Linked DNA regions of Oreochromis niloticus. The protein of the gene in region 1 purifies or fractionates together with the protein of each later gene. This does not show direct contact. Links are inferred from orthologs where the notes say so. Each region holds a gene or a part of one and is shown in the gene's direction. Other genes may lie near its edges. The genes, in order: pop4, rpp40, pop1 and rpp38.

Region 1 (7,462 bases):
AGACCGAGCAGGAGTCGTTGAGTTTTTTGTTGTTCAGCGTCTCTGTCCTCGTGTACCTGCACCGTCAGATCCTCGGTTAGAGGATTTTTTATCTGATCGAGGATCTCTGAGGATTCTGGGACTTTTTCTGATTTTACTGCATTTCTAGCTTCCTCTGAACCGTCTTTGACTTTTTCTGTGTAAAAAAAGTTTTATTTCAGTAAGCCTGCTCACGGCTCAGTTAGAGGCTCTGGGATAAAATGGCGATTACTGAGAAACGTGCTGAAGCGTCTGTCCTCCGTCTCTCTGCTCAGGCTGCCATCATTTTACTCTACGACGTCATGATCGTCAACAACTGGCAGGCCTTCATCGACGCCTACAGCAGATACACCACAGAGTAAGAAACCGCACGGTTTAAGCTCAGCGGCTTGATTATGGTGGTTACTGCGAGGATGATGATGATGATGATGATGATGATGATGATTTGCTTCCCAGGTGGTCCAAGATCTACTTCGTGTGTTGGTGGCTCATCTCGTCGGTCATGTGGGTCAACTTGTTCGTGGCGCTCATCTTAGAGGTGAGAGACTCGCTCGATCGATGCAGGACAAGGTTTGAACTTCATCTTCATCAGAAAGAGGCGAGCTGGAGACAAAAGGACGCAACCTGAACCGGCGGCAGGAAGTGAGAGAGGGGCAGCTGAAAGTCTCAGGGGCGACTCGGCGTTCTTCTTAATCAGAAAGAGTTTTTAGGACATCCTGATAATAACGACATTGAAGTATATGAGCAGGAACCTGCGGCGTTCCCGACTGTGACACTTCTGTAAGAAAGCAAAACCTTCTCAGAAATGTCGGACATCCTCGCTTTTTCAGGTTGCTCAGATTACACGGCAGCAGGAATGTTAATATTCCTGTTTCGGAGTTCGGGAGAAACACGCCTGCAGGAGGTGTCGTAGTTTGTTTTAAACGAGCTTCTCCTCCTGGTGACGATCAGATTGATTCTTTCTAAATGTCTGAGGGCAGGTGTCCCCCTGTAATCTGCACCCACGCCGTGCACCGTGCACCGTGCACAGGCCGCTTTGTTGTGTCTTGTAAACATTTGTTTGGGTTTTTCCAGTTTTTTGCTTTGAGGGTCTGACGTGTGTCTTTCTGTCCTAACAGAACTTCATCTACAAGTGGGACCGCAGTCACAGCTGCTCTGTGATCGATGTGGAGAGGATCAGATATGAAACCTCGGTTCAGCTCATATTCAGGTGGGAATTTATTATTTATTGAATCTCAGTGCTATACTTGACAAACCTGAGTCCACGCTCACTGCCTGCCCGTGGGTCCCGTGTCTCTGCAGGGAGCAGGTCCAGGAGCCCACAGAGGAGGAGTTGGTGTGCCAGCTGCACCAGCATCCACACTTACAGCTGCAGTGGTGACGGCGGCGCATGCCGCAGCGCGGGCAGGGCGAGGCTCTTCTGCTAGTTCATTTTTAAGTTCCTGTAAAATATTAAATGCATAATGTCTGCTGAGTCCAGCGGGAATCACACTTCTGAGTATTTCCAAGTAAAACCCGGGCAGTGGAGTCCAGTCCTGTTCTGAGAAACACCTGGGTTCATTTAAATCAAACTGTGAAATCAGAAAAAGCTGCGGCCGCATTTAAAAGCTGCCAAAACAAACTGAAGTGTGAGCAGCTGCAGCTTTTAATTGGCCGACCAGAGCGCCGCTGAGCAGAGCTGAAACCACAAATCCAACGGCAGCGCGAGTCCTGTACATCAGATTTGCTCTGCAGACAAACAGCCAATCAAATCCAAGAACACCGTCTCATCAAACCGGCGCTGTAGCCTCCAGGAGACGGGTCTCCGTTCACTGCAGACTGAAACCATCTCACAGAGTCGCGTTACGCAGCACACACCAGCCTGACCGGCACACATTCACTCTGAGATTTACCTCAGACTGTTTGGTGTGAAATCCTCGCAGACGCTCGTAGGCTCAGGTCAGAAAGGTCACGTCAGGGAAACACAAAGGTTTAAAAAACGCACATTTGCTCTGCAGCGCTGTTCATTCATTGAGTTCAGGGCGGAGCCAGAGGCTGACACCTTTCACATGTAAGGATGATGAGATGTTAAAGTAAATCCATCACAGATCACTGCGGTTTCACAAAAACACGTCTTTTTACTCTTTCTGAGCCAAACATAAGACGGAGACATGTCTCCATCACTGCGAGACGCCGAGCAGACGGTAATGACTTCTGGGCTGATCTCTGCTGTGACTCCAGCCTTGTCTTCAGTGTGATGGAACTCGCTCAGTGGAAGCGGAGAAATAGTGCCAACACCCACGTTGCTGAGGAAGCGTGAACCTGTCCACGATGACAGGAAGCCATGTCCCCACGTGTGGACAGAAACATCAGTGCTCGGGTTTTTTCTTACATCTGTCAAACTGGATAAACAGCACTGCAGGCTGCGGGGAACACGTTTATTTAAAATCCTCTTAATCTGCAGATAGAGACACGAGCTGCAGGGACCGGCTCGTCCCGCAGGTCCGTGTTTCCTGACTTTCTTATAGATGCATGTGTCGTCTGTGGACACTCGCAGCCTGAGCTGCTGAAGCTTTCCTCACTTCCTGCTCTGACCTGGTCATCAGCAGCGACAAACACATCAGAGGAAAATGTTGCAGATCGGCTGGAGCTGAGTCGCCGCTGGGCGTCTGCCGCTCGGGTTCATCGAGACGTTTAACATAGAAACGCTGCCGTGTGCACAGGAAGGACATCACTGATGGTTTCTGATGCCCGAGCTGCAGCTGCAGCGTCGTTCTTTAGAGGTTTCCGCTTCATTCGACTTCATTCGGTTTCCCCTCATGTGAAGGACAAACTGTCCAGAAACCAGGAAACGCCTGAAAGCAGTGACCTGTTGGAGACTTTGTTTCGTCTGTCAGGAAATAAAAAACGTTTTTTTCTTGGAATGACACCAGATCTGATCTCTGCTGTGTTTCTGGCCCGAGGCCGAGCGTAGCAGAGCTTTCCATGAAACCTGATGTCAGACTTCCTGCTGATGGTCAGTAGGACACACGCAGCACGCCGAGGAACACACGGACATGCCTGTTCATGCTTTCTGCTGTATGTGGCGTTCAGGGCGTGCTGAGGCTTTAGACGAGCGTGTTCTGAGAGTTTAGTGGTGCAGGGCTGCTACCTCCAAGGGTAAAAAGGGAAAAACTCACTTTTTGTATGAATGTCCCAAAATCAGATTTAAAATAAATATTTTTCTGAAACTCAAAGACGTCTCTCGTGTCTCCGTTCACTCCATCAGCTCGCTGTAGTGTGCACTCTCTCCTAATGAAGTCCAGCTCAATATTTTTATGTCTTCTGAATCTTATGACACTTATAATAATAAGAATAATAAGAATAAGAATAATAATGGATTGCATTTATATAGCGCTTTTCGAGACCCTCAAAGCGCTTTACAATTACACTATTCATTCACTCTCACATTCACACACTGGTGGAGGCAGCTACAGTTGTAGCCACAGACTGACAGAAGCGAGGCTGCCATATCACGCCATTGTCCAGAGGGGCCGATGGCGATTACTTATTCAGTAATAATAATTATTATTGTAATGATCTAATGATGCTCTGTGTCTTTTCTGCATCAGTTTCTGGTGGAAGCATCTGAACACAGTCAGGATCTACCTGCAGCTTTCCCAACTCTAAACATCCCCTCCACCCTCTCTGTGAGAGTAAACTGGGACAAAGAGCCTCTGCTGCACAGTTTTGTCTTTATTAAATCTGTTTGCGTATGAACGATGAGGGCTTCAGTCCGCACAGAGACTGAAGAACAAATGTGCGGAAGCGAGCCGGCCTCAGGTCTCACAGCAGGAGGCAAACCAGAAGTGTCCCTCAGACGGGTGTCTGTAAAAAAGAAGGACAACAAGTACCCACGGGAGGGTACGGAGGCAGCACAGCCCTCGCTTTGAGCTGTTGTAGATGAAACTGTCTGCAAACACTTTTCTAACACAAAGGGAAACTGTTCATACTCACTGCAGTGTGACTGCAATCACCTTCAAGTGTTTTAGTGCAATAAATCAGTGTTTGAGCCTGCTGGCTCTCCCGGAAGCTCCCAAACATCTGCTCCAAACTCAACAGCTGCCAGCTCCACAAAGATCTGCTGCAGGTTTCTGTGGAAGTGTCACAGCAAAGATTAAGACTGTCACAGCAGAAAAACGGAGATCAGTCAACGAGAAGGACGAACGTAGCTTTAAAAAAACAGTAATAAGTATAAGAAACAGGAAAAGCAGCTGATGCAGAGGTAAAACAGAGACTGTGACAGTGACGTCATATTTTCACAATAACGAGTGAGATGATAAAAAACAGGAAATATTTAAGTTTCTGGTCCAATAAAAAAGCGACTGATGAAAGTTTAATAGATAAAATAAATAAAACTGCGATAACCGGAGAAAATGTCGGAGAACTTTTCCTGTTGAGCTGCAGGGGACGCTGTGCGCGCGCCAGCGGCCGCTTCATCCTCTAAAAACGTGACGAAGAAGAGCGACGCGGAAGTGACCCGGGCAGTGCTGAAAGCACGCGTGTCGTGGAGTTTCTCCGTGGATCGTCAGAGGAGTTCTGCTCAGGTCTGCGAGCATGGAGGGTGAGTGAGCTGAGCGCGTGAGCACACACCTGAACACGGACTCGGTGGGAGGAGGGGCTTTCCTCCGGTCCGAGCTTCGATTCTGTCCGGTCGGTTGCGTCTCCGGGGGGGGGGCGTGTTTGGCCCTGTACCCTCACACAGGTGTGTTACCTGAGGAGAGGCTCGCATGTAGTCGATTATTAATGTGACGTCATCACCTTTGTGTAGCACGTGTAGATCTGTAACAACATCCACAATTTCCTCCTTAATGCAGCTGTGCTGACAACAGAAGCCCCGCCCCCTCTCCTCACATTTACGGGATCAAAACAAAACTCTTGTTTTTCTCTAATGAAGCTAAAACTGCTCCACCCAGACTCCAGCTGTGATCAGCGGGGTAGGTGGAGGTCAGGAGGGTCTCCTCCACCTGTGTGTGGAGCTGAGGAGGGTCTGTGTGTTCCTCCCTGGTGTCATCCATCATCCACTCGTCAGCCTCCAGGTGTGACAGGTGTGATTACATCACAGGCTAAACTTAGACTGTCACAGCGAAATTGGACTAAACCTGTTTTAGGTAACTGCAGGGAAGGTCATTAGAGAACAGCTGAGCTCCACCTTCACAGGAAAGTGCGTGTTTAAAAGGTAAAGGAACGTTTCCTGAATGTCTCCACCTGTGGATTCATTCAGGTCACAGGTCACCTGTCCAAACTGAGAACACAATAAAAATAAAATCCCACGGCATCGTGAGAAAGTGGGCGGGTTAGACGCTTGAGCAGCGGTGCGGTGAGGTGAGGTGAGGTGAGGGGGGGGCATCCATCACATCTCAGCGGGCAAGTTCTGCCAAACTGACGCTGAAGCTTCATCTTTTTATTTTAGTCAAACATTTTTATATGCGTCCCCCCCTTTGGACGTGTGTGTCCCCCCGCCCTTGAGGCGTGTCCTCTGTCGTTCCCGCCCCTCTGTGTGCTTCAGCGCCTCAGTGACGTGTCTGTGTCCTCTCCACAGAAGGTCTGGTTCGAGCCGCTATTCCTCGTGAGCTGGTGGACGTTCTTGGTGTTGAGGTAAGCCGACGCTCGGGTGTTTTCCACTGATGTGAAAGTGTTTCATCCGCACTTTGTGCCGTCTGAAGAGAGCGAGGAGATTTTGCAGCTTTGTAGCTCCGCCCTCAGGATTTAATGGGACAGCCAGTAACCATCCTTTACATAAAAGTCAGCAAACTGCAAAAGTCCTTCCTGTTTTGTGCTGAGCGATGACTTCACTCTGCTGGCTCTGCCCAACACGCTGTTTGGCTCATGACTCTTTAATAATCACCTGAATTCACTTCTTCAAATATTGTTTTCAGCCTCAGAGCAGCTTCAAAGCGAAGGCCTTCACCGAGGCGTTCCTGAAGAACAGCATTCAGCAGCCCAGACGCCATGACCTGCAGAACATGCTGAGCCACAAAGCCGTGATCCTCGGCTACGGCCGGCCCAAGAAGGAGCGGAGGAAGAGCGCCAAGGCCCGAGGGCTGAACGCGCGGCAGAAGAGGGAGCTGAAGGTCTTCCAGATCAATCCTGAACACCAGAGGTTGGTGAGAAACCCTCCACCTGTTCCTCCACCTGCTCCTCCTCCTGCATCACTGTCTTTGTCTTCCTCACTGCAGATACGAGCTTTTCCTTCCTCTGCATGAACTCTGGAGACAGTACATCATCGACCTGTGCGGGGGATTGAAAGCAACGAGGTAAATCGCCGCCCTCAACAGCTGCTTGTCCAGATGTTTGTCTGCCTCTCACTAAGTCGTCATCCGGATGTTTTCACAGCAATCCACAGGTCGTGCAGCAGAAGCTCCTGAAGGCGGATTTCCACGGAGCCATCCTCACAGGTCTTCTTCTTCTTCTTCTTCTTCTTCTTCTTCCTCCATTTGTAGCAGAAAACTCAGGAATGTAAAAAGTCAGTGTTCCAGGCGTCCTGTGCCATTCCCAGTCAGCTTTGTCTTTTTCCTTCTGGTTTTGGTCTGAAATGAAGTTTGTGGTTAAGACGACTTTTGGCCTCGTTCATGTCAGTAAGTCTGCTCCTCTCCAAGCGCCATGACTCCCAGAGGTGCTGACCTTTGGAGCCTCGAGAGGACGTAAGAGCAGCTGCAGGTTTTAGTGCTGCCCTCCTCTGAAAGTGGTCTTTAAACTCACTGCTTTCCTGAGGACACGGGTCTTCTCAGGAACATTGTTGTTCTCAATGTTCATCTGCATGAACGGCATGAACAGCAGTTCTGTGAGCACGCTGTGGTACCTGAAGCTCCTGGTTTCCTTCTTTTCAGTCGGGCTGTTTGGAGAGTAAAGAACGAGTCAGTTTTGATGCTTAGCATGAAATCATCAAGTTCAAATTGATTTAGTAATTACTCGCTGCAGCAGCATGTTTGAGCTGCTTATTGCAAGCCTCTTTGCAGCCCACCTCCACCCCAGCCCCTGGTTTTCCTGCTGCTGCAGAGACTGAAACCTGCTAACACGCGTGCAGGCTCGTGCAACATGACAGTCTGTTCTTGTCCCCGCTGCAGTGGTGCGGTCCAAGTGTCCGTCTTATGTGGGGACGTCTGGGATTCTGGTGCAAGAGTTCAAACACGTCTTCAAGATCATCACCAGAGACGACAAACTGAAAGGTTAGGAGCGTGTGAGTCTCTCCGTGTGTTGGGCTCCGGTTTGTATGAATGTGAGTCAGTAACACACAGCCAGCTGCTGTGGAAGCTCACAGAGGGAGATTTAAGCTGCGTGTCATCTATAAATATTATGGATATTAAATATTTCTTTGATATGAAATAAATATTTGGTTAAATGGTCTCTAATTAGCATAAACAGATAAATGTGGCCTGGAAGAAGATGTGTTATGGCTGAAGACAGGAAGTGAATTGCGTGTGCC
Region 2 (7,725 bases), on another chromosome or scaffold:
GGGTCCATGTTATCAGTAAGAACATCTCTAATGGACTCTAACGCTCAACACAGGCTTTACTGGGTTCTACCAGTCAGAACCAGTTCTGTTTGGTTCTGGGTGTGGTTACAAAGGTTCTGACCTGATGAGGTTCCTCATCTCCTTCTCTGCCCATGTTCTCACCATCTTCCGGGGGTTTCCTTTACAGTACCCATGACGGAACCTGCAGAACAACAGGACAAACTGTTCCTGAAGGAGCCTCCTGCTGTACCTGGAGCCAACAGGAAGTGCTCGCGGTGTACCTGAGCGCTGTTCTTCTGTGGTGCCGGACTCACCTGAACTCCCCGCTGACGTACTTGTCGCGGTCTTTGAACAGCAGGATGGACGTCTTGTAGATCTTGATGGCTCTGCTGTCCCCAGCTGCTGTGCTGGCGTGATAAACGTTTGCCTGAGAGGGACGAGTATTGATCAGCGCATGTGTAACCATTCAGCGTATTGATCGAGCGATTACTGAATGGTCTGACCTCCTTCCCGGTGCTGATGCAGCCGTTGATCTCGGAGATAATTCCTCGACTCAGCATCTTAAAGAGAATCATTCGAGTTCGAGGGTCTAACACCTGAAGAAGAAGAAAGCATCAGCTGCTTATTGATCTTCACCTTATTATCTTTAACCTCCTGGCAGTTCTTTCCTAAAGAACTCAGTAAAAGTGGAAGCGTCACATCACAACAACAGTCGCCTTAAGGTGCTCTAGATTGTAGGCCAGAGCCGCTACAGGAACTCACCTGTTCTACTGTGGCTCGATCTGATTTGTCCTTCACTCTGTACCTGTGGAGAGAAGCCAATCAGGATGTGAGTCACAGCAGGAACACCCCGGCTGATGTCAGCATCATCAGCTGCTCTCAGACTCACGTGTCGGCTTCCCTCTGTTTCTGCATCGTCGTCACTTTATTAATCACCGAGTCTGCGTAGTTCAGTTTGTCTGCCAGAAAACAAAGACGATCAATCACTGCAATCGATTCCTGATCATAACTAAAAAGCCTACACCAACGTTGGACCAGAGACGCAGACTGGAGGATGCTTCAATGGCTCCAGACCTCCACAGCGGCTTATAGCAGGCCGTTGGGTGCAGGTGATCAATCAATATGATCAATATGATCAATACTGGCAATCAGCTGTAAGCAGACAGGTCGTTCTGAAAGGCGGATGAAACGTCACATCGATGTCGTTTAAGAGCTTCACGAAACTAAAAAGCTGTGTGTGTGTGTGTGTGTGTGTGTGTGTGTGGGGTACCCAGGTTGATCTTGTGTTCATATTTCCTCAAAGCTTTGTCAGATGGTGTTGATGATGGCAGCTTCTTGGACGGATTCTGTCTGTTGGACTGCAGACGGAGACTCTGTGCACAAAAATGACTCAGTTTATAACGTCTCTCTCTCACACACACACTCTTCGGCATCAAGCTAGCACTACAGAAGAGGAGCAATGCTGTCAGCTCATTTCTATTAGCTGACACTTATCAGCTCAACAAACATCAGCAAACACAAACTGTGCAGTTTGTCTCAGTGTGTTGCAGCTAAAGGTTCAGCTGCTGTATTTGACAGAGAGAAAGACAGAGAGCTAAGTTCACTCAGAGATGGAGACAGATAAGAAGGAAGGACAGGAGAGGAAGAAGACAGCTTAGAGTTAAAGGAAGGACGCTCATTTAAAGCTCACATGGAAGTCCTCATGGTTTTAAATCTGTCACATTGTGTTTGTTCATAAACCTGCTGCTAATCAAACTGAGGCAGACTGACTGTGTTATTTAAAGGCTGCATGAGAATCCTCTGCAGGATGAACAGGTGAGTTTGCTGCACTGTGATTGGTTTACAGTAGAGTCTGTGACTGCTGCACAGTGGCTGTGGGTTCATGCTCACAGTTAGCTTACAGCAAGTGTATGGAGGGCCAGGAGTACCAAAAACAATTAAATAGCCCATTAAATAATTAATTGAATGTTTAAGTAATGAATTAAAATGGAAAGAAATATGACTCAAGAATATGAGTTTTACATCTGCTCACATCTGGATGAATCCAGGTGTGTACATCCACAGAGAGCAGCAGGTCAGCTGATCACAGCCTGCACACTAAGAAACTCTACTGGAGCTCTCAGTGGAAATGACTGAGTCTTTTCCCCACACTCAGACATTACAGCTGATTTAAAGGTTCCTCCACCTGCTGAATCCACGTTAACCTCTGACTGTACACGTTCCTGTTTGGAGACAAAGTCACCTTCTACAATGGAGGCAACAGGAAATAGAGACTTGTTTTTATTTCTATGCTTTTTATTCTGATTCAAGCTGAGAACAATTAGAATAAACAAAGATAGACTAAAGTTTGTATTCCCATCTATCTATCATTTTATAATTATGTTAATGTAGCACAAGGTTCAGTTAGCTTTCCACAGAAATAGTCCTCCAAAGAACTACTCATCTCCTCCGTTAGCCCTTCTGTTACCTCCTCTGTTAGTCTCTGTGTTACCTCCTCTGTTATCTCCTCTGTTAGCTCCTCTGTTAGCCCCCCTGTTATCTCCTCTGTTAGCCCCCCTGTTATCTCCTCTGTTAGCTCCTCTGTTAGCCCCCCTGTTATCTCCTCTGTTAGCCCCCCTGTTAGTCCCTCTGTTACCTCCTCTGTTAGCCCCCCTGTTATCTCCTCTGTTAGCCCCCCTGTTGGCTCCTCTGTTACCTCCTCTGTTAGCCCCTCGGTTAGCTCCTCTGTTAGTCCCTCTGTAAGCTCCTCTGTTAGTCCCTCTGTAAGCTCCTCTGTTAGTCCCTCTGTAAGCTCCTCTGTTAGTCCCTCTGTAAGCTCCTCTGTTAGTCCCTCTGTAAGCTCCTCTGTTAGTCCCTCTGTTAGCTCCTCTGTTAGTCCCTCTGTTATCTCCTCTGTTAGCCCCTCTGTTGGCTCCTCTGTTACCTCCTCTGTTAGCCCCTCGGTTAGCTCCTCTGTTAGTCCCTCTGTAAGCTCCTCTGTTAGTCCCTCTGTAAGCTCCTCTGTTAGTCCCTCTGTAAGCTCCTCTGTTAGTCCCTCTGTTATCTCCTCTGTTAGCCCTCTGTTGGCTCCTCTGTTACCTCCTCTGTTAGCCCCTCGGTTAGCTCCTCTGTTAGTCCCTCTGTTAGCTCCTCTGTTAGTCCCTCTGTTAGCTCCTCTGTTAGTCCCTCTGTTATCTCCTCTGTTAGCCCCTCTGTTGGCTCCTCTGTTACCTCCTCTGTTAGCCCCTCGGTTAGCTCCTCTGTTAGTCCCTCTGTAAACTCCTCTGTTAGTCCCTCTGTAAGCTCCTCTGTTAGTCCCTCTGTAAGCTCCTCTGTTAGTCCCTCTGTTATCTCCTCTGTTAGCCCCTCTGTTGGCTCCTCTGTTACCTCCTCTGTTAGCCCCTCGGTTAGCTCCTCTGTTAGTCCCTCTGTTAGCTCCTCTGTTAGTCCCTCTGTTAGCTCCTCTGTTAGTCCCTCTGTAAGCTCCTCTGTTAGTCCCTCTGTTAGCTCCTCTGTTAGTCCCTCTGTAAGCTCCTCTGTTAGTCCCTCTGTAAGCTCCTCTGTTAGTCCCTCTGTTAGCTCCTCTGTTGCATAATCAGGTGTTCAACACATACATCATCCATCCTTCCATCTTTTAGACCTGGAAGACTCTGTTGGTTCTTTGACCTCTACTCACTTCCTGTCTCACCTGCAAGCCACCCGCTGCCTGGTTGTATCTTTTGGCCAGATCTGCTGCTGAGCTCCAGGCCCACTCATCCTCATCATCCACATCCTCCTCCTCACTGAAATCCTGCTGCTCTGATGAAGGCAGTGCATCACTGATGCGAGTCAGCTCCACTGACCTGACACTGCAGAACAAAAAAACAAAAGAACAAACAACAAAAACACAGTCAGAGCTGCTGAAATCTCTGTGAAAGTTACTCATACAGCAAACAAGATGTAATGATAAGGGAGGAGGCAGCCCTGGTGCCCCGATGGTCAGGAGGGCAGAGGCCTGAGCTGTGAACTGGTCCCCTCTGTGGAGCTATCAGAGCTCCTCTGTGGGTTAAAGTCGTGGTTCTGTTCTTGTGGCCTGAAGCCTGCTGATTGTATTTATGTAGTAAATATGATGAGCTGAATTTTACCTGACCTGAAACAAGAAGCCCTGATGGCGAGAGGCTGGTTTGTGTATGGGACTGAAACACCGACAGCACGGCCATGGAGACTTACACTGAGAGTGTGTGTGTGTGTGTGTGTAAGGTGACGTCAGTAAACATGACAGAAAAGCTCACACATGAAAGCATCAGCTGCTGCTTCACAGCACAGAAACCCAGGTTACACCTGAGGTTACCTGGACAAGACTGAATCCTGCTATGGAGTGCAGGCCTTAGGTGACCTGTTACCATGGTGATTTAGCCAGGTACAGCCTCACTGTTTACACCGCAGCATCAAAACAAACGAACGAACTCACCTGTCCTCCTCCGCGTCATCAAACTGCCCAGGTACACACGCCGGCTCCGCCATGACGTCAAAGCCTCTCACACAGGTAAACACAGGTAAGCGCTGAACCTTCGAGACCGATTGTGCTGCGCCGCTCCTCGTGTTTGCTCCACTTCCGGGTTCGACCACGTGACTACGGAGAGCGGCGCGGGTCGGAGGATGACGTCACATCACATCCACCGATCCGTCTCTCTCTCTCTCTCTCTCTCTCTCTCTCTCTCTCACACACACACACACACACACACACACACACACACACAAACGCCCCATTCACCCAACAGCCGGAATATCCTCCAAAATAAAAACAACGAACACTTCCGGTTCGCTACCGGGAGCTTTTAAACTGAAAAGCCGCGGCCGGAAACACGTGTAGTTAGCTCGCAGCCGAAGAAGATGACGTCCTCGGAGCTGGACCGGACTCCGCGGACTCTGTTGGTGTCGGAGAGCTCCAGCTTCTTGGACCCGAAGAACCGGATCAGCGCGCAGGTGCAGCAGTTGCACTTCAACCACCAGGTGACGCTCTCACCCTTCACCTCTGACCTTTCACCTCCGAGCCGTTAGCTTCACAGCGTCGGGCTCACGGACGGCTTCATGTAAATTTAAAGTCGTGTTTGATCGAGTGCAAGGAGAGCAGTCACGAGTGGAGCAGTGCTGAGTATGCGGGTGGAGCAGCAGGGCTCAGTGTGCGAGTGGTTCTGTGGATGACCGTTCAGAGCATTGAGGTGGAAGGATTGCGTGTTCAGAGGTGAGTCAGCAGTCGCCCCCACAGAGCGGCTTTACCAGAGACTAACTTCAGGATTTGGGAGTGGAGAGTATGGATCTGCAGTCCTGACCTCAACCCCACCCAGCACCCGTGGGAGCTGCTCTGAGAGGTCAAACCTCTCAAATCTTTCACATCTCAGAACACCGCCGTCACTCCTAAAACTTCCCCCCGTTTCTTAACAACTAGATGCCACGTTGCCATATCATTTTTTTGATTGGTCGACACGGTACTTTTTTCGACTAATAGGAAAGGGTGGGGGGTTTTTTGGTTTTGTTTTTGCTCACAGGCTGAGAGTGCTTTCGAGCGTTTTCCTTATAAAACGCCGTTTTTACCGTTTCTTCCGGCAGTAAATATAAACAACGATAGTATTCAGGAAGAAAACCAAACATTGCAGATATTTTTATCATAACTCTGGTTTTACGTGGCCGATCAACACAATTTAAAAACTGGTATAAAGTCCACACTTTGTCCGTCAATTGTTCCGTCTGTCCTGCTCACATCCATAGCTGGACTGGCCATCGGGCATACCTATGGGCTCAAAATGTGGTCATAAATATTTTGTACTTGTAAATCAGTTTTGTATGTGTAAAAAGAATTTGTGCGTGCGTAAAAAAGATTTGTGCGTGTGTAAAAAAAGATTTGTATGTGTAAAAAAGATTTGTGTGTGTAAAAAGAATTTGTGTGTGGACTTAGCCAAAAACCCCCCTGCAAGTTACAAGTACGAATTTTGACCCTATTTTTCTTCCTGTCATCTGATTGGTCAATGTCATGTCAATCACAAATGTAACAATCCAATCAGAGAACAGATGGGTTTGGCTGTCGGAGGGGCACTTTTTTGAACTGCAGGTCCTTGAAGGGAATAAATGCCCTTTTACATGCCAACCCAGCGTTTTCCTTCATCACCACAAAGGAAAACAGTCTGTGGTCATCCGAGTTTGGTGATTTTTGTGTCACAGGTCTACGTGCTTTATACAGGGACTTCCACAGCCTTTTCAACAGCGCTGCGGACCGGGGGGGCAGTGTTTTGGAAATGACAGTCTTCATTACAAAGCTTTCTTCGTTATGAATTAGCATACATGTTTTTATTGAACATTTGAAGAACTAGCAAAAAAACCAAACTCTTGTAGAGGACATAAAGTCAGAGACAGAAACGACAAGGAGCAGGTGCATCTAGTACAGGTAGAGCTGCTGCAAAAACCCACAGAGCTCAGCAGCCAGCGCAACAAATTCTGGATCCTTTGCTTTTAGTTAGCAGTTAGCATTAGCAGCACATCCTGCGTCCGATGTGAAAGGACCTTTATGCTGCGCACTGTGACTCACAGCAATGGTCCCGGGTCAGCCCTGACTTTGTGTTAAACTAATCCTAAAGTAATAATGGTATTTCTAACCACTGACATACCACAACTTTATCCTTTCAACAGCTGCTGAAAGTTAGGGGACCTAGCTGCTATCGGATATTTATATAGAGATCCTCCAGCTTCAAACTGTATTACCCTTCAAGGACCTGCAGTTCAAAAAAGTGCCCCTCCGACAGCCAAACCCATCTGTTCTCTGATTGGATTGTTACATTTGTGATTGACATGACATTGACCAATCAGATGACAGGAAGAAAAATAGGGTCAAAATTCGTACTTGTAACTTGCAGGGGGGTTTTTGGCTAAGTCCACACACAAATCTTTTTTACACATACAAATCTTTTTTACGCACGCACAAATTCTTTTTACACATACAAATCTTTTTTACACACAAACAAATCTTTTTTGCACATACAAATCTTTTTTACGCACGCACAAATTCTTTTTACACATACAAAACTGATTTACAAGTACAAAATATTTATGACCACATTTTGAGCCCATACATACCGGGCATTTTCCCGGTGGGCCGCTCGTGATTTTTCGTTTTTATGGGCCGATGGGGTTTTATTTCTTTTATTTTTTCAACGGTATAAATGAATAGTGGTGTATTGGCCAGTTGGTCATGATCGACTCTGGGCTGGACCAATTACAGCCGAGGAGGTCGAACTTTAAAGTTGAGGTGAAAAGCAACGCGATTTGTCCCGATCAGCTGATCAATGATCAATGATCAGCTGATCGGCTTTTCTCTCTGCGTCAGAAAGAGCAAACCAGCGGAGGTCGCGTTAAACAACAGAAGCACCTTTAAACTTGATGAGCTGTTGTTAGAATTTATTTAATATTAATTTCTAGTATCAGCTGATGTTTGCTGGAGGGATGAAGGGTTGAAGGGAAGTTATGAACTGTTTCTGGGAGACAAATAACACCAGGATCCTTTTCTAGCTGACAGCTGGTAACTGTGCAGGGGCGGGTCTAGCAAAGTTTTGCCAGGGGGCCAGGTAGGGCATTAACAGGGAAAGGGGGGCACAAAAAATACGTTTCTTTCTTATTCTCATTTGAAATTTCTAGCTTTTAACAAATAATTATCTGAGTCATACAACCAAAGTTTTCATCTGATGTCAAATGTATAGAAATCCATTATTGTACATA
Region 3 (7,589 bases), on another chromosome or scaffold:
TTTGCTTGTTTAATGTACTTGTTAGGAAGTGCCGGTCAGAGGGCCCAAAACAGCAATTGCTTCAATTTCAACCAGTCCACCCTGGAGAAAGAGACAGCATCAGCACAGTGAGAATTGTGGTTTTCAGTTGGGTTCAAAGCACAAAAGAATAACTGGATAAAAAAAACGGTCTTTGTCAAGTACTCACTCGAGGGAGAGCAGCGACCTGATAGGCAGCCCTGGCTGGGAAGTTGGTGCTAAAGACTAAAGAAAGCAGCTGAGTTAGGCCACCAACACATTTACACATACAGACTTTCAATGACTCAGACACACATATAGAATCTACAGAAGCTTACAGGACTGCAAAGCAGCCAATTAACTACTGGTACCTGGCATTTATAGTGTTGCCCTTGTCTGACATGCCTTTATATCAACTGATAAAACAAGCAAGCTCTTTATAGTGACTGTCAGAGTAGGAGAAACACAGGTGTGCGAGTACACAAACTAGGGCTCTACTTCATCATCAGTCAGCTTGAACAAGCAGTTATTAGTCTCATTAGTTCCACTTTTGGATTTACATAGACCTGCACTGAATCAACAAGAGAACATTTATCTTTTAATGTGACAATTTTAATCTGCACAGCAATTTAACTCTGTTCACACATATTAGACACAATTTACATCAAATATATAAAATTCAGTGTATGATTATCATACAGTTTCACACAAATTTCATCAGTACAAAACACCACATTATTAGATGCACAATGGGAAATGTATTACAATGAAAAGCCGCAGCAATAATTAATACACATTAATGAGTCACTACAGACTGCACTTGATTGTGCTGGGCACTGCGCTACAAAGTTATCTCTGGTTATCTCTCTATTATCTGGATTCACTGAACCTAACACTTGTGATCACAAAGGTGGTTATCCACTCACTGAGTTAACCAATGGTTTCCTGATTGAGGTATGAGCGCATTCACACAAAAGTAAGAAATTAACAATAAAAAGTAAAAAATAAAGACTAAATACAAACTCCATCTGTACAATTTATATATTAATGCTTAAAGAACAAAATTGTAACATGTTTGTAGCCAAAAGGTTAAATTAAAAAAAATATCTGTATTTATTACTGATGCTATTAAAGACTTTAGACACTCCTATTCTCGGTGCACAGAGGTTTGAGGGATCTTCAAGTAATGGTGACGCTATTTTCTGGAGACTTGACTGGTCAGTAGGTGGTGATTTCATACCTGTTGACCTCTAATATGGAAGCACAAGTTACCATGGCGATGTACCCTGGTAAGAAGTGAACCACACTTGTAGTACAGAAAACTCGGGGTTAACCCCAAAGCTACCTGGATATGATGAGTTCCTGTTTTGTAGTACAGGCCTCGGCTCAGGCAGCAGAATTTATGCCTTTGTTGTTCTTGTCGGTTCATGTAACCGCAGCATAGCTGCACCCAACTTCAACCATAGCAAAAGCCTAATCAGCCAGAATAAAGTGAAAACACCTGTGAGGGGCCTTTAAAGACAGAGGTGGACTGAAAGAATAATCTGATTTTGACTGTACTGATGTAATCACTGATAATGGACTCAACGCAGAGTGCATCAACCTGGGTGCTTGGATCAGTTAATTGTAGGAGCAATACCTGAATTAACTGGCATTAGAAAAATGTGTAGTTATCTTTTCTACCATACTACTTAAACAATGAAATGGATATGGGGGCTTTGTGAATAGACTTAAAGTTTTTTATTTAATCTATGGAATGTCAGATGTGGCAGTCTGTCGTCTGACATTTAGATTAAGATTAAGATCTGTTGGTGGGGAAAGCTCAGGTTTCACTCTGCTAAGTGACTCAGCAAATGTCAGCGTTCCCTGTGAGTGTTTGGACTCTGCCCCTGTGTTTCTGAATATTTATTTCATAATTCAACTTGCTCTGGAGTTTCCACAGCATATTTAGAATATGAAGAGGCAAATTCAAGCACCGGTTGATTTATTGTAAAGGCCTTCTGGGTGAATACATTACTGGAAAAATAAAGAGTCTATAAAATCTGCTTGTTATGCAGCAGCGCTGTATGTCGTCTGGACTGTGCTGACACCTGGTGGCTAACGTTGTATTGCAAAATGAAGGCCAACAGCAGCAGATAACTCCAAACACATACTGATACACATTAATAACTAAATCATTGATACTCACATTGTTTGTACACGTCATTGACACTGGTGAAGTCGTTCATATCGGCTAAGAGCACTGTGGTTTTGACAACTTCAGGAAATAACAAGAAAAGAAAGAAAATAGTGCATGATCAGGTCTGTGGTTGAAAAGTTGAAAGAATTCTTCTGTGCACATGCAAAGAAAGGCAAGGCTCTCTCACCATTGGTGTAACCACACCCAGCAGCCCTGAGTATTTCACCCATATTCACCAGAGCCTGAAGAAACAGAAGTCATGTACATGATTGTGCAAAAGTAATTCTCACTTTGTGATGACTTTCATATCCTCATTCATCCTGCAGGAAGGATGCATTTGACCAGTCTTAAATTTATTCTGCAGCATTACAGAGAATTAAGGAATTGGCCCCCTGCAGGAAAACTGGTGGGTTTTTTCAAAAGGCACTATTTTTAAAAGCATTGTCACTAGATTTTCTTTTAAATAATGGACTGCATGTATTCACACTGTAGCAGTCTCTTAATTGTTTGGTTGTGAGCTCAACTCCATTGCAATTATCTCAGCAGTTAGGAATTAGGAACATCTACTGATGTCTGGATCGCTTTCAAGTGTCGCTGTACTCCATGTTTATGAATGAATGAAGGAATGAATCAGTGATGATGGGGATTCCAGTGTCACCTGTCTGGTTTGAGCCTGAACACCACCTTCCACCAGCTGTCCACTGGCAGGGTCCATTCCCAGCTGTCCTGAAATATACATGGTTCGATCCACCACCACTGCTTGGCTGGAAAACACACACAAACACGCACGGACAAAGGCTTAGCTACTCTGGGTTTATTTCGTTCAGAGTGTTAAATCTTATTGTCCTTTCTGGTGATCTTTGCTAAATAAAGATTTACTAATAATGAAGGAAGTGAGGTTAAAAAAGTTGTATGTTTGCTTGACTATTCCGTCACTTATCTCTCCATGTGTAGGTTTTTAACTGAGGGTTATTGTTTTTTTTTCAAATATTTCTTTTAAATAAGAGATTCACAAAATTGCATTTATGTCCCTTTCTGTCTTTTAATAATAAATACACAGTTTCTTTTCTCGATAAGGGGAACACTCTCTTTATACCTGTGAGGAGTCTTGAAGTCATTTTTCTGTGCCCCTATTAAACATATATGTGGGACTGCTTACCTGCATTTGTACAAGAACTCTAAAATTAGAAACATCTTGTCTCAGAGTGATGCTGAAAAACTAATTCATGCATTTATTTCTTCTAGGCGGGACTATTGTAACTCATTATTATCAGGATGTCCTAAAAACTACCTAAAAAGCCTTCAGTTGATCATAGTATCAAAGTACCATATCACCCCAGTAAAGCACTACTGGTATAACTGTTTCCTACGATATTTCAAAGCAGAATGGGAAGCAGAGGTTTCAGCTTCCAGGCCCTTCTTCTGTGGAACCAGCTCTCTATGCAGATGTGAGTGACAGAAACCCTCTGTGCTTTTAGGATTAGGCTTAAACTTCAGTTAGAGCTGGATCAGGAGGGTCGTCTGATTGTTGGGGTCTTCACTGTATTATTTTAGGCTCTTTACCAAACAATATAAAAAAAAACTCGAGGCGACTGGTGTCGTGACTTGACGTCATATAAATAAAATTGAATTAAATTAAATTAATTGCAGACTAAAGTATTGAAAAACCGCGGGCACAGTTTGCTGTTTATCTTCATTGTTTAACATTTTAGTGGTGTGTGTAGAGTTTAAAGTGCAACATCCAAAAGTCTGAACTTTGCTCCCAAAAGCTCTGAGGGCATATGCTATCCCACCTCTCCCAGCAGTAATCTTATGGACGAAACAGTGAACTCAGTATCGCTGTATTACCCGATTAAGCAAAAAAGTCGTGGTCTGTCATCAGTGAATTGGCAGTCAGTGCTATTAACAGTGCAAATGTAATGTAGGTTGGTGCTGCGGCAGGTGTGTGCCAGCTGTAACTTTAACCTTAGGGCAATGATTCAAAGCTCTTCTCACCTGTACGGACCGATAGCAGCAGGAGCTTTAGCTGTGCTGATAATCCTCCTGATTAGTGCAGCCATTTCACTGGAAATCTATCGGCCCAAGTGAAAAAAGTAAGTTGTACAACAGAAGGCTGCAAGCAGAAAACGCGCTGATGTCAGAAGGACGTCAGAGCTACTTTACCGTAAAAGACATATTACATGCGCAAACACGTTTCCCTTTACACATTTTAGTTCCAAAACTGGTCACCTCAGACATTTTACAACTCAAGCAAGAGACAATAGTGACAACATATCATATAATCTTAAGAAAACGTACCTTGGTTTTTATTGGATTTTTTTTGTTGACGCGCTAATACTCTACAAAGCCCCCTGAACACGTCATATCCGGAAGCAAACAAGACCAGCACCAGCATGAGGAAACCTCACATGGTAGCTAAACGTAAAACTAGAGGGTCCCTGCGGCTGGAACAGCGTTTCTGACACACATCACGCTGGGGAACCTTGAGGTAACCTTATGAAGTGTAATTCCTCTGGACGTTTGGTATAGAAATGTTTTAGCTTTGGTTTTGTTAGTTAAAACAACTCCCCAACTTTACGCCAGGTAACGTTGCTAGCAAGCTGGCGTTTTAGCTCAGCATTCAACTGTTTGGGTTATAAGCTGCTCGCATAGCGAGGTCTCAAGCGTGTTATTGTATCTTACAGAAAATGTCTGCGGCTAAAGTCAAAATGCGGGAGAAGAAGATGAGAAATCAGCCCGCCAGTGTGCAGTATCCATCTTCTTCATCTAACGTGGAGAGCAGCACACAGAATGGAGCAGACGCCCCTGGCACCGGTACTCAGCCTTCTCTGGTTATTTCACGTACCTATTACATATTAAACTGGAAGAAGGACCAGCGAGTCCCCTACAGTAATGCAGAACAAAGCGCACATATGTTTTTCTTCCAGTCTTCCACGCATGAAATGGATTCTTGTATAAAAAGTTACTGCCAAAATGGTTAAACCGGCAGATAATATAAACCACATAAGCAGAATAAAGCCAAGGTGAACTGAACAGATTTGCTCTCCTTGGACTGTATCATACATACTTGAAAGATAAGGTCATACATGACTGTATCTGATATAGCTATACATTAAATATCAAACACAACCGAACATTCTTCCTATTTAAGTATATGGATATATGTCATATCTCATATTTCTGCTACTTGCCATGCAGTGCGTCCAGAAAGTATTCACAGTGTGTCACTTGTTCCACGTGTTGTCATGGAAGACTCACAAAAACATGTTAGTTGTACCTTATTCCAAAATGGACTAAATTCTACATGAAAGATCTGATAATGACAAAGTGAAGAAGCTTGCCTGAAATTCTTGCAAATTTACTAAAGACAAAGGTATAACTTGTAGATGAGTATTCACGGCCTTTGCCATGACGCACAGATTCAAGCGCAAGTGGATCCTGTTTTAACTGATCGACTGTTTTCATAGCTGATTGGAGCCCACCTGTGGTAAATTCACCACTCATCACCTGGCCAGTACCATCCCGACAGTGGAGCATGGTGTTGGCAGCATCATGCTGAGGGATGTTTGTACATGTGCAGCAGCGTACAGAGACATCCTTTATGCTAACCTGCTCCAGAGCGCTCTGAGCCTCAGACTGGGTTGAAGGTTCATCTTCCAACGGCACAACAACCCTAAGCACACATCCAAGATAACAAACATAACTGATGATCCCCATCCAGCCTGATGGAGCTTGGGGGTCTGCAAAAAAGAATAAGAGAAACTGCCCAAAAATAGGTGTGCAGAGCTCATACCCAAAAAGACTTGAGGCTGTAATTGCAGCCAAAGGTGTTTCAACAAAGTCCTGAGCAAAGGCTCTCAGTCATCCAGATCATCGTAGTCTAAGGAGCCTGGAAAGAAAAGCGTCTGGACTTCTTTAAGTTTCTTGAAGATGTTTCATCCGAGAAGCTTTTTCAGTTCTAGGGTCAAATGGTGGAGAGTCCCAGATTTTAAGCCCTATGGGAGTGTCCCCCAAGAGGGTCATGGACCCCCTATTAATCCTTTACGTAATCACATGAGCCAAGGTGTGAAAACGGGTGTGGGTCAGAATCAGCCAAGGTTCGGGTGAACCCACTGTGAAACCTAGCCCCACCCTGTCATGTGACTTACTGAGGTCAGATGGCCAAGGATGTGAGTGGGCATTAAGGTGTCTGGGAAGGGATCTCAAAACTGGATTATAGATGGCAGACAGTTGGTGTCGTAAGGCACCGCCTCTGTTCAAAGAACATCTAGAGGGCATTCCAGGCATCTAGAGGACCCCCCTGTCCATGGTCACACTTAATTTGGGACAAATCGGAGCATTTATTGTGAAATAACCTGAGTTCAGGTCTAGCAGCACCTGTTGAACTTAGCTTTTTCCAACTGACATTAATAATTTTATGCAAGAATTTATTTCATGTGTAAGAGACCTTAGAGAAAACGATAATTGTTGCTTTGTTTTGTTGCACTTCTGGTAGGTGTATCTCAAAGTTTTGTGAGTCTTTCCTCTAGACTGTCTGTCACTTGGTTCTTATGATTTTTTTTTTTTTTTTTTTTTAAACCCTCCAAATTTTTTTCTTTCTAGTTCCTCATCTTCCTCTGTCATGTGCTGTTCATACAGTGAATATAGGGAACATATTTTTTCCAAGGGAGGAATCCCTTCTCATTAAGGTTGTTTCTATGATGAGATTCATGTGAAAAAGGAATAAACAAGCGGACAAAGATGTTATATGCCTTATTAAGTTGGGCGAGTTTACTCACATTTGTAGAGGCAGACCACACATGACTCACTCTCACTTTTGACAGGAGAAAATGCTGATCCTCTCAAAGGTGGTCTTTCGGAGGTGCACCCCTCTACAGAAAGGAAGAAGAAAACTCCCCACCAGAGCGGATGGGTCCGTGGACATCATAAAGATGGTGGTGGCTACACCAAGGAGATGCCCAAATACATCACTGGTAAAATCTCAACATTTTTAACATATTAAGTTTAATTCAGAGCATAGACAGTCATGAAAGAAATGAATTGTAAAGGTATTCATGAACAGTTACAGTCCAGTGAATGACTTCCATTTCCATCTTTACCTTCCTCACTCAGCTGGAGCTTTTGCAAGGGCCAGGGCTGCAGAGGTGAGCGCCATGTTGAAAGCTGTCAGAAAGACCACAAGCAGCAGCCATGTGTTTGAAGCTCTGCCCAAACACATGAGGAGACGAGCCATGAGCCACAACACCAAGCGGCTTCCTCACAGACTGAGAGAGGTGGCCAACAGAATGGTAAATTTCTGGACGTATTTTATTTTTAGCACTTTGTCTCACAAACACCTCCGTACCCTTGTTTTATATACAAAGTCCCCCACTCTGAGTACCTGGGACATGTCCACTCACTTTTCCTTCCTCTA
Region 4 (7,280 bases), on another chromosome or scaffold:
CGCATTTGCCAACATTTAAATTGTCCTGTTTTGATTCAAGCTACAAATCTAAGTCCAGTATGCAGTACATATAGAAAGATTAATATGTTAAAGACTGCATAGATATCATTAAAATGCATAAATCATTTGAGCTATGTAATTTAAAAAATCAGGATAGAAAGACATTTTTTTAAAAATCACATTATTGTGCAGAATTATTGCCTCTGGAAGCAAAGCTGCTCTTTTAAGTAAAGAGCAGCTTTGATTTAGTAGTTTGAATTAGTAGTCTGTTTTCATCGCTGCTGCCTCTTCAGTTCATGGACGTCTCACACCCCGTACTTGCTGATGACTTCTTTAGCCTTTGCGATGTAGGCCGACATGGCGTCCTCCTTGGACATTCCTGAAAGAGTTCAAATTACGAGTGATTTGGACTTAAATAATAATGTCTTAAAGGAGTTTTCTCCTATTAGTATACATGCTTAGAGAGCCTTTCACCCATAGCACTGAAAAGCTGGTTAAACTATGGGAGAAATTCTCATGATGAAGATGCTTAGAAAAGATCAGGTCTTTTTATTGGTAATAAATCTAAAAAAAAAAAAAAAGTATTTCCCCTGGCAGCACAGAACGCTTCCTTTAATGAGCTCAACAGGTTCCGATAAATCACCACCATGGAAGCTGGCATCTGGGTTGTGTTTTTGTTATGGTAACGTGGGCGATAGTAGCTCAAGAGTTGGCAGTTCGTCTTGTAATCGGAAGGTTGCCGGTTTGAGCCCCGGCTCGTACAGTCTCGGTCGTTGTGTCCTTGGGCAAGACACTTCACCCACTGCCTACTGGTGGTAGTCAGAGGGCCCGGTGGCGCCAGTGTCCAGCAGCCTCGCCTCTGTCAGTGCGCCCCAGGGCAGCTGTAGCTACAATTTAGCTTGCCATCACCAGTGTGTGAATGACTGAATGTAGTGTAAAGCGCTTTGGGGTCCTTAGGGATTAAGTAAAGCGCTATACAAATACAGGTCATTTACCATTTAAGTAAAGATATAAAACTTTAAAACACTGGATTTTTAAAAATCTGTATGTATATTTGTGCAGTGTTTTTGGGATCATTGTTGCCAGATTAGGTCACAGATTAGTTTTTTGGGGAATGACGTTGTTGGTGTAAAAATATGAAATTATTCCTGTCAAACTGTGTTATCTTTGGCCTTTTTCATAGCTTCAGCAAAAGACATGTGAACAAATGATGTGTTTGTGCAACAGGCTGCTAGTAACAAAGGGCCTAAAGATAACGATTAAAAATGGTACTTTGATCAGTTGTCTGTTATGTGTAGACGAAGCTCTCGTTCATTAGCTCGAGTTAGGTTACTATTTATTCCTTGAATGATTCAGTGTTAAATGGCTTAACAAATAAAACAGTTCCTCTGAAAATAGTCAGGTACAAGGACTGGACTGAAAATTAGCTAAAGGAGCAAACAATGTCCAAAGGCAAACTTTGAAAGACCTTCAGAAAGCCCGGAGAGCTATTGCTCAAGATCATTTACATTGTCTGAGTCATTGGAAGCAAAATACAAAGAAATGAGTGGTGCTCAACACCACCCTTTGACTCTTTGCACAAGTGTGATGTCACTAAAAATGAACCTATTACAACAAAATCTGCGTGTAGTCACCTTTTTCTCAAGTACTCAACACTAAACACAGACTTGCAGAAACAGCTCGTGTGCAGCTGAATCATGGAGTTGACCTGCAAATGCCTTAACTCAACATTTTTTGAGGGTAATTTTACTTTAAAAAATAAATTTAAAAAAATCAATGAATATGCGAGTAAAATTAAAAAGTTCCTGTGATGTTGGATGAAACTAAGTGGTGAAAATATTTGGATATTTTGACAATGACTAACTTCTAATTTCCTAAAAGTTACCTCCTGTGAGTCTTATTTGACACTGAACACACCTAATTTGGAGCAGATTCCTCCATGTTCGGAGTTGAGCTCATGCTCCACAAACATGTTTTACGAAATTCATTCTCATGATTTACACCTGTGGACTCAGCAGGTTTTGAGTACTAAATAGGCTACTCTGCAGGCAACCAGGAGGTGGAGCCCCACCAGTCTGCATGCATCCTTGCATCCAGTGAAGTGTAAATGTGTGTGTGTGGCTCGTAGTGTAAAAGAACCAGTTCTTTTACCTTATTTAGTACAGAAAAATACCAAAAACTGTTCCAGCTGTGAACTTGGGAAAAAATATCTGTCTCATATATCCTTGTATGATCTATAACCTGCTAATAAATCACTTTTCCAGCACCTTCAGTTAAAGTGTTTAGTTCTCATGGACAAATTTAACAATCACAAGCTTTCCTAACTCGTTACCTTTCCTCGACTCCCAGGCGTCCCACTTGGCCTTTCCTTTTAGGTCCAGCATTCCCGGTCTCTCTACAGTTGTGAAAGCACACAGAGAGGAGGAGAAAAAATCTGAACTTAGTGAACTCTTTATGGGAGTGATTCAGTTTCTCTGTAGCGGGTCCTACCAGTGTTAATGTCTCCAACAACCGCCTGTTTATAAAGGGCATACAGGAACAGCAGCTCCTCGTCTGTGGGCTTGGCCTTCACCTTCTTCACATCATCTGCTGCCTTGTCAAATTCTGCCTGCAGGTGACATGAACACTCTTTATGTTTACGATTAAATTTTCAGAAAACATAAGCAGTGTGTCTGTGATGGGAAAACACTGGACTGGAGGATTTCTTCTCTTTGCAATAAAGTCCAGCAGGAATGTAAAGTAATTACATCGAATACGAGAGTGTGCATATTAATGAGTTACAAGCACTGAATAAGAAATGTGAGTGTGGTATTCTAGGCACGGGGCAGTCCTGGGAAACTGATTGTTGCACAAGCTGGAGATAAACAATGGGCTTTTATATGAGACCAGAGCCTGTGTGCCTACTCAAATAATCTGCTTTTCAAAGGATCTGGGACACAGCAGAACTGATAATTATAGACCACAGGAACCATTTTTTATATGCACAAACACCTAAAAACCTTTTAACTCTTTACTGAGGTGACGCTGAAATATATAATGATCCAGCTCTGAATGCTGACGATTGGTCAAAAAGCGGATGTTTGTATATAGATCCAGTTTACCTCCACATGTTCTCATTTCTCACAGAGACAAACTCTAAATCTAGTGAATTTTCATCGGGAAATCTCTAAATTCTAAGAGCAGCATCAGGACCACTGAGCCGAGAGCATTAACGCGTTTAGGCACGACTTTCCTTCATCCACCCTTCACACGCCGTCAAAGATGGATGACTGCATACGGCCAGAAGACGGCATGCGCTGTTCGGTTCATCGCGACAATGTAGCATCTAATAAATAATAATAACAATAATAAAAGAGCAAAGAAACGCAGGATTTTACCTGGAGGGTCATCTTGGTAAAGGTAAAGGCTGGGAGCGCAGATGAATGTCCTGCCCTGAAGGGTTTTAAGCAGCAGTAATTGCAGCACAGCTGATCGATGCACTATTGAGAGTAAAGCAGAGGCTTGTAGGGGAGGGAGCAGACAGCTGCAGAGGTGCTGATTGGCTGCCTGTCACCCTCACTCACAGCGACACACACACGCACACGGACTTTAATAAAATGGGGAGATATAGTGGACTATGGCACCTAGTCCACTGACTACTGAGACTTTATGACGTGTCATTTGCAACAGTGTAATAAATTTAGGGAGATATAATCATATCAGTTCAGCAGGATTAATACAACCTCTACCACAATATGCTTCCTACACAGAACTCCGTGCAATAATATTATTTTAAAAATCTGCCCAAAATGCTGACTAATTTCATTACATATAAATTTTTGTATTATTATTATTAGATTTGATTTTTTGTTACACAAGTACAGTGTGAAGTGTTACCATTAATGGAGTCTGCTCAAATGAAATTTACTTGGTTCGTGCACATTCAGTTTATACGAAACACATTTCCCTTAACGATAAAGTATTTGAATAAATAAACCTTTGATTTTATATGTTTCATTTTTATTCATATTATTGCTTGGTGTTTATTGATCACCTTTGAGGGTATTTAAACTAATTGATTAATTGATTGAGAAAGGCCTCCTTTATATTTCCTGTGCTCGTGCACTTTTACTCCAGCTGATTCATGAAGGAGACTTCATGCACTTTTCCCTACATCAGACTCTACAGTGTCAGATAACAGTGTTCGCCGCCTCTTTAACTCCACTTTCACTGCCTTCGCTGACTCTTTGATGATTTGACTGTCATGTCGCCCTTTCACCGCTGTTCGGCGCTGTGGAGCTTTTTAAATAAAGTTATTTAAATTGAAACAAAATGGCAGCGCCCTGTGTGTCTCTCATGCAGCTGGGCTGAAGCTGTAAAGAAGACGAGGAGAAATGCGTTATCTGCTTTAACCACAGGTAACGGCGGCTGTGTTTGTTTTTAATGCTTCTGCAGAAGCGAAAGGTTTTTTATTAGAGCCGAAGAAGATCTGAAATTTAACGACATTTCCATGTGGGTTAAAGAAATGCGAAATAAAAACGTTGCTAATCGTATTAGTTTATAATGGCGTTGTTTGTTTGTTTAGTCTGATTTTTGGATACAAATTTTTAACAAATGTGATCTTGTTTTTCTCTATTTTATCCACTCATCTTAAAATGTCCTTTATTCCTCTTAGTCGTGTTTACTCTTTTCTGCTTTTACTTTTTTACCTTTTAAACAAACAAGGAAATAAAAAAAGATTCTGGTATGCGTTTTTTATATGTGAATAAGCTGTTTAACTCATCTTTGGCATTTCTGTGCTTTAATTTAACATCAGCAATGATTTACATTTACTGGCCAGTTCATTAGGTACATCTTCCTTGTGCTGGGTTGGACTCCCATTTGCCTTAAGAACTGCTTTTTTTTTCTTCATGAAAGATTCTTGGGGGATCAACATGTGATACGTGTTGACGATGTGAATCTCCTGTTCCACCAGATCACAAAGGTGCTCTATCTGATTGAGATCTGGTGATTGTGGAGGTTAGGTACAGTGAACTCATCTGATTGCCTTCACTACCAGTCAGGTGAACGGTGTACTTAATAAAGTGTCCAGTGATTGTATGCCAGACTCTAAAGCAGTTTTTCCTCTCTTTTCTTACAGTGTCGGTTGTTTTATGCTTCAAACAGTCATGGCAGCTCCCGGAAAGCCGACTAAAAAGGAAATCAAAAAGCAGACTCCAGCCAAGACCTCCTTCACCTCACCCTTTGCCTCAAAATGGAGCCCGCTCCCCCAAGAGGACATGCACTTCATCCTGAAAACTCTTAAGGACAAGTTGATCTCCATGGGTCTGGAAAAAAAAGAAGTGAAAGGGTTTCGCATATGGAGGAAAAAGAAAGGCAAAAAACCTGATGTCGCACCGGAACCTGTTCCCCAGGAGAGCGATTCCTCCAAAAACGGCTGGACAGATGTGGCAGCCAGACGGCAGCTGGCCATCGGCATCAACGAGGTGACCAAGGCTCTGGAGAGAAACGAACTCAGACTGCTGCTCGTGTGCAAGTCTGTCAAACCGAAACACATGACCAATCACCTGATCGCTCTGAGCGCCACCAGAGGAGTGCCGGCCTGCCAGGTGCCTCGCCTGAGCCAGAGCGTGTCGGAGCCGCTGGGGCTGAAAAGCGTGCTCGCCCTGGGGTTCAGACGGTGCTCCTCCAGTGACAATGGGGTGTTTACCGACACTGTCGATGCCATTAAGCCCAGAGTGCCTTCACTGGACATGGCATGGCTGCAAGGTGCTAAACCTGAAGAACCTGTTGCCATGGAGGAGGAGGAAGGTGGTGAAAGAAGGGGACAAAAAAGGAAACTGGAAAGTGAATATGAGGGGGTGTCAGAGTCTCCCTCCTCCTGCACTCTGCAGCCGCTCCAGGTGAAGAGAATCGTTGCTAACCCTGCAAAGAAGAAGAAAGGGAAGCCGAAGAAATAGCTGTAAAGTGAAAGAGAAACTTTAAGGACTGTTTGTTTAGCTCAGGAGTTTCCAGTGTTGTTTATTTTTGGGTTTTTGAACAGTGCTTGCAGCCTCAGTCTGGACATAACTTATGTGATTAGTTTATATAAAGAATTTCTGGAAGCTTAAAGAGAAAAAAAGGTTTTTGGGAACAAGGTTTAGACTTTTCTGCCAAGTATTTTTATCTGGGGAAGCCTCAGACCTTCAGGTTTGCATTCATTGTTTCAGCAGATTAGTAGCATTGCATATGGTTTCATGCATATTCATACAATTGAATATGATCTGACTGAAGTTTGAATTTCATTTTGTCCACAATTAAAGCCGGTCTGCACACATTGTTTTTTATAAAGGCAATTAAGTTTTTCCCGGTATTTTGATAGTGCTGTTTGTTTTAAATGGAGCTTGTAATATTTTACCCTCGAATGAAATATATTTCCTCTATATAATACAGAGGACTGCCATTAGACCACCAACATCTTGGAGCTGTTGTGCTGGATTGCTCAGGTACTAAGTAGAAAGTAGTAGTCTATTTATGTTGAAATGTAAGCAGAATTTTAGACCTCAGGTAGGCACAAATGAACCAACTTAATGATCATTTTCCAATTTTAATTTGCTGTAAATATCTATAGATGGACAAAGGTACTGGGAGATTACATCACTTGGTTGAATTGGGAATGTCTTGATCCCCTCCTGGGAGAGGGAGGTCTGAGTTCCTCTGCTTAGACTGCTGGTCCCGTGACCCGGATAAGCAGAAGATCGATGGCTGGAAGGGAAAGATTAAGATCAATAGAAAGATCCTTTATTAATCCTTTGCAGGAAATGACATTGCCTCTGCAGACACAGACATAACACCACACATCCCAAACAAAATATCAGCTCCATTACTTATTTCTGATAAAGTTAGTATGAATAAATAAAACTATCAATAACTAACATGGACTAACTACATGGATCTCTTCTCAAGTTTTTAGAGTCGCAGGAGAGCTGAACCTTATTCCAGCAGACATAGGGTGAGAGGCAGGGTATAGCAGCATGTCGCAGAGCTGAAACAGTGACAGTCATTTATACCTATGAGCAATTTAGAATCCCCAGTTAACCTAACCCCCACTAACTGCATGTCTTTGGACTGTGGGAGAAACCCGAGCACGCAGAGAGTACCCTGTGTTCTTGATAAAGAATTCCGAGTATCCATCTATCCATTCTCTTCTGCTTATCCTGTGTGAGGAAGCCAAAGTACCTGGAAGGAACACAGAAAAGATCCCAGCCTGATGGTGGAATTGAACTGAGGACCTTTTTGCTGTGAGGCAACAGTGCTAACCA

Evidence for each region.
Region 2: the proteins of pop4 (region 1) and rpp40 purify together in Homo sapiens (affinity purification with mass spectrometry; 3 studies listed by BioGRID and IntAct, counting the BioPlex papers as one, with this or other methods). This does not show direct contact. The link is inferred for Oreochromis niloticus from reciprocal best matches to the Homo sapiens genes POP4 and RPP40.
Region 3: the proteins of pop4 (region 1) and pop1 purify together in Homo sapiens (affinity purification with mass spectrometry; 5 studies listed by BioGRID and IntAct, counting the BioPlex papers as one, with this or other methods). This does not show direct contact. The link is inferred for Oreochromis niloticus from reciprocal best matches to the Homo sapiens genes POP4 and POP1.
Region 4: the proteins of pop4 (region 1) and rpp38 purify together in Homo sapiens (affinity purification with mass spectrometry; 4 studies listed by BioGRID and IntAct, counting the BioPlex papers as one, with this or other methods). This does not show direct contact. The link is inferred for Oreochromis niloticus from reciprocal best matches to the Homo sapiens genes POP4 and RPP38.

The regions. Positions count from the first base shown.
Region 1 is NC_031965.2:39,311,456-39,318,917, forward strand, and holds the start of pop4 (ribonuclease P protein subunit p29), read left to right. Parts: upstream 1-4,454; 5' UTR 4,455-4,593; coding exon 4,594-4,600; intron 4,601-4,629; exon of another isoform or gene 4,630-5,572; intron 5,573-5,578; coding exon 5,579-5,634; intron 5,635-5,915; coding exon 5,916-6,139; intron 6,140-6,215; coding exon 6,216-6,293; intron 6,294-6,372; coding exon 6,373-6,434; intron 6,435-7,103; coding exon 7,104-7,205; intron 7,206-7,462. UniProt on the Homo sapiens protein: Component of ribonuclease P, a ribonucleoprotein complex that generates mature tRNA molecules by cleaving their 5'-ends.
Region 2 is NC_031982.2:34,664,963-34,672,687, reverse strand, and holds the start of rpp40 (ribonuclease P protein subunit p40), read left to right. Parts: upstream 1-4,711; 5' UTR 4,712-4,851; coding exon 4,852-4,971; intron 4,972-7,725. Other genes in the region: riok1 (serine/threonine-protein kinase RIO1), read right to left, coding at 122-202, 315-427, 504-596, 763-805, 890-959, 1,271-1,373, 3,656-3,827, 4,430-4,482. UniProt on the Homo sapiens protein: Component of ribonuclease P, a ribonucleoprotein complex that generates mature tRNA molecules by cleaving their 5'-ends. Also a component of the MRP ribonuclease complex, which cleaves pre-rRNA sequences.
Region 3 is NC_031976.2:6,409,790-6,417,378, reverse strand, and holds the start of pop1 (ribonucleases P/MRP protein subunit POP1), read left to right. Parts: upstream 1-4,528; 5' UTR 4,529-4,664; intron 4,665-4,860; 5' UTR 4,861-4,863; coding exon 4,864-4,990; intron 4,991-5,367; coding exon of another isoform or gene 5,368-5,370; exon of another isoform or gene 5,371-5,591; intron 5,592-6,999; coding exon 7,000-7,149; intron 7,150-7,288; coding exon 7,289-7,464; intron 7,465-7,589. Other genes in the region: 2-iminobutanoate/2-iminopropanoate deaminase, read right to left, coding at 22-81, 188-243, 2,186-2,254, 2,364-2,418, 2,835-2,940, 4,172-4,248, 5,368-5,370. UniProt on the Homo sapiens protein: Component of ribonuclease P, a ribonucleoprotein complex that generates mature tRNA molecules by cleaving their 5'-ends. Also a component of the MRP ribonuclease complex, which cleaves pre-rRNA sequences.
Region 4 is NC_031976.2:20,280,638-20,287,917, reverse strand, and holds rpp38 (ribonuclease P protein subunit p38), read left to right. Parts: upstream 1-4,249; 5' UTR 4,250-4,397; intron 4,398-4,954; exon of another isoform or gene 4,955-5,042; intron 5,043-5,119; 5' UTR 5,120-5,132; coding exon 5,133-5,939; 3' UTR 5,940-6,845; downstream 6,846-7,280. Other genes in the region: peroxisomal carnitine O-octanoyltransferase, read right to left, coding at 2,333-2,395, 2,491-2,608, 3,378-3,389. UniProt on the Homo sapiens protein: Component of ribonuclease P, a ribonucleoprotein complex that generates mature tRNA molecules by cleaving their 5'-ends. Also a component of the MRP ribonuclease complex, which cleaves pre-rRNA sequences.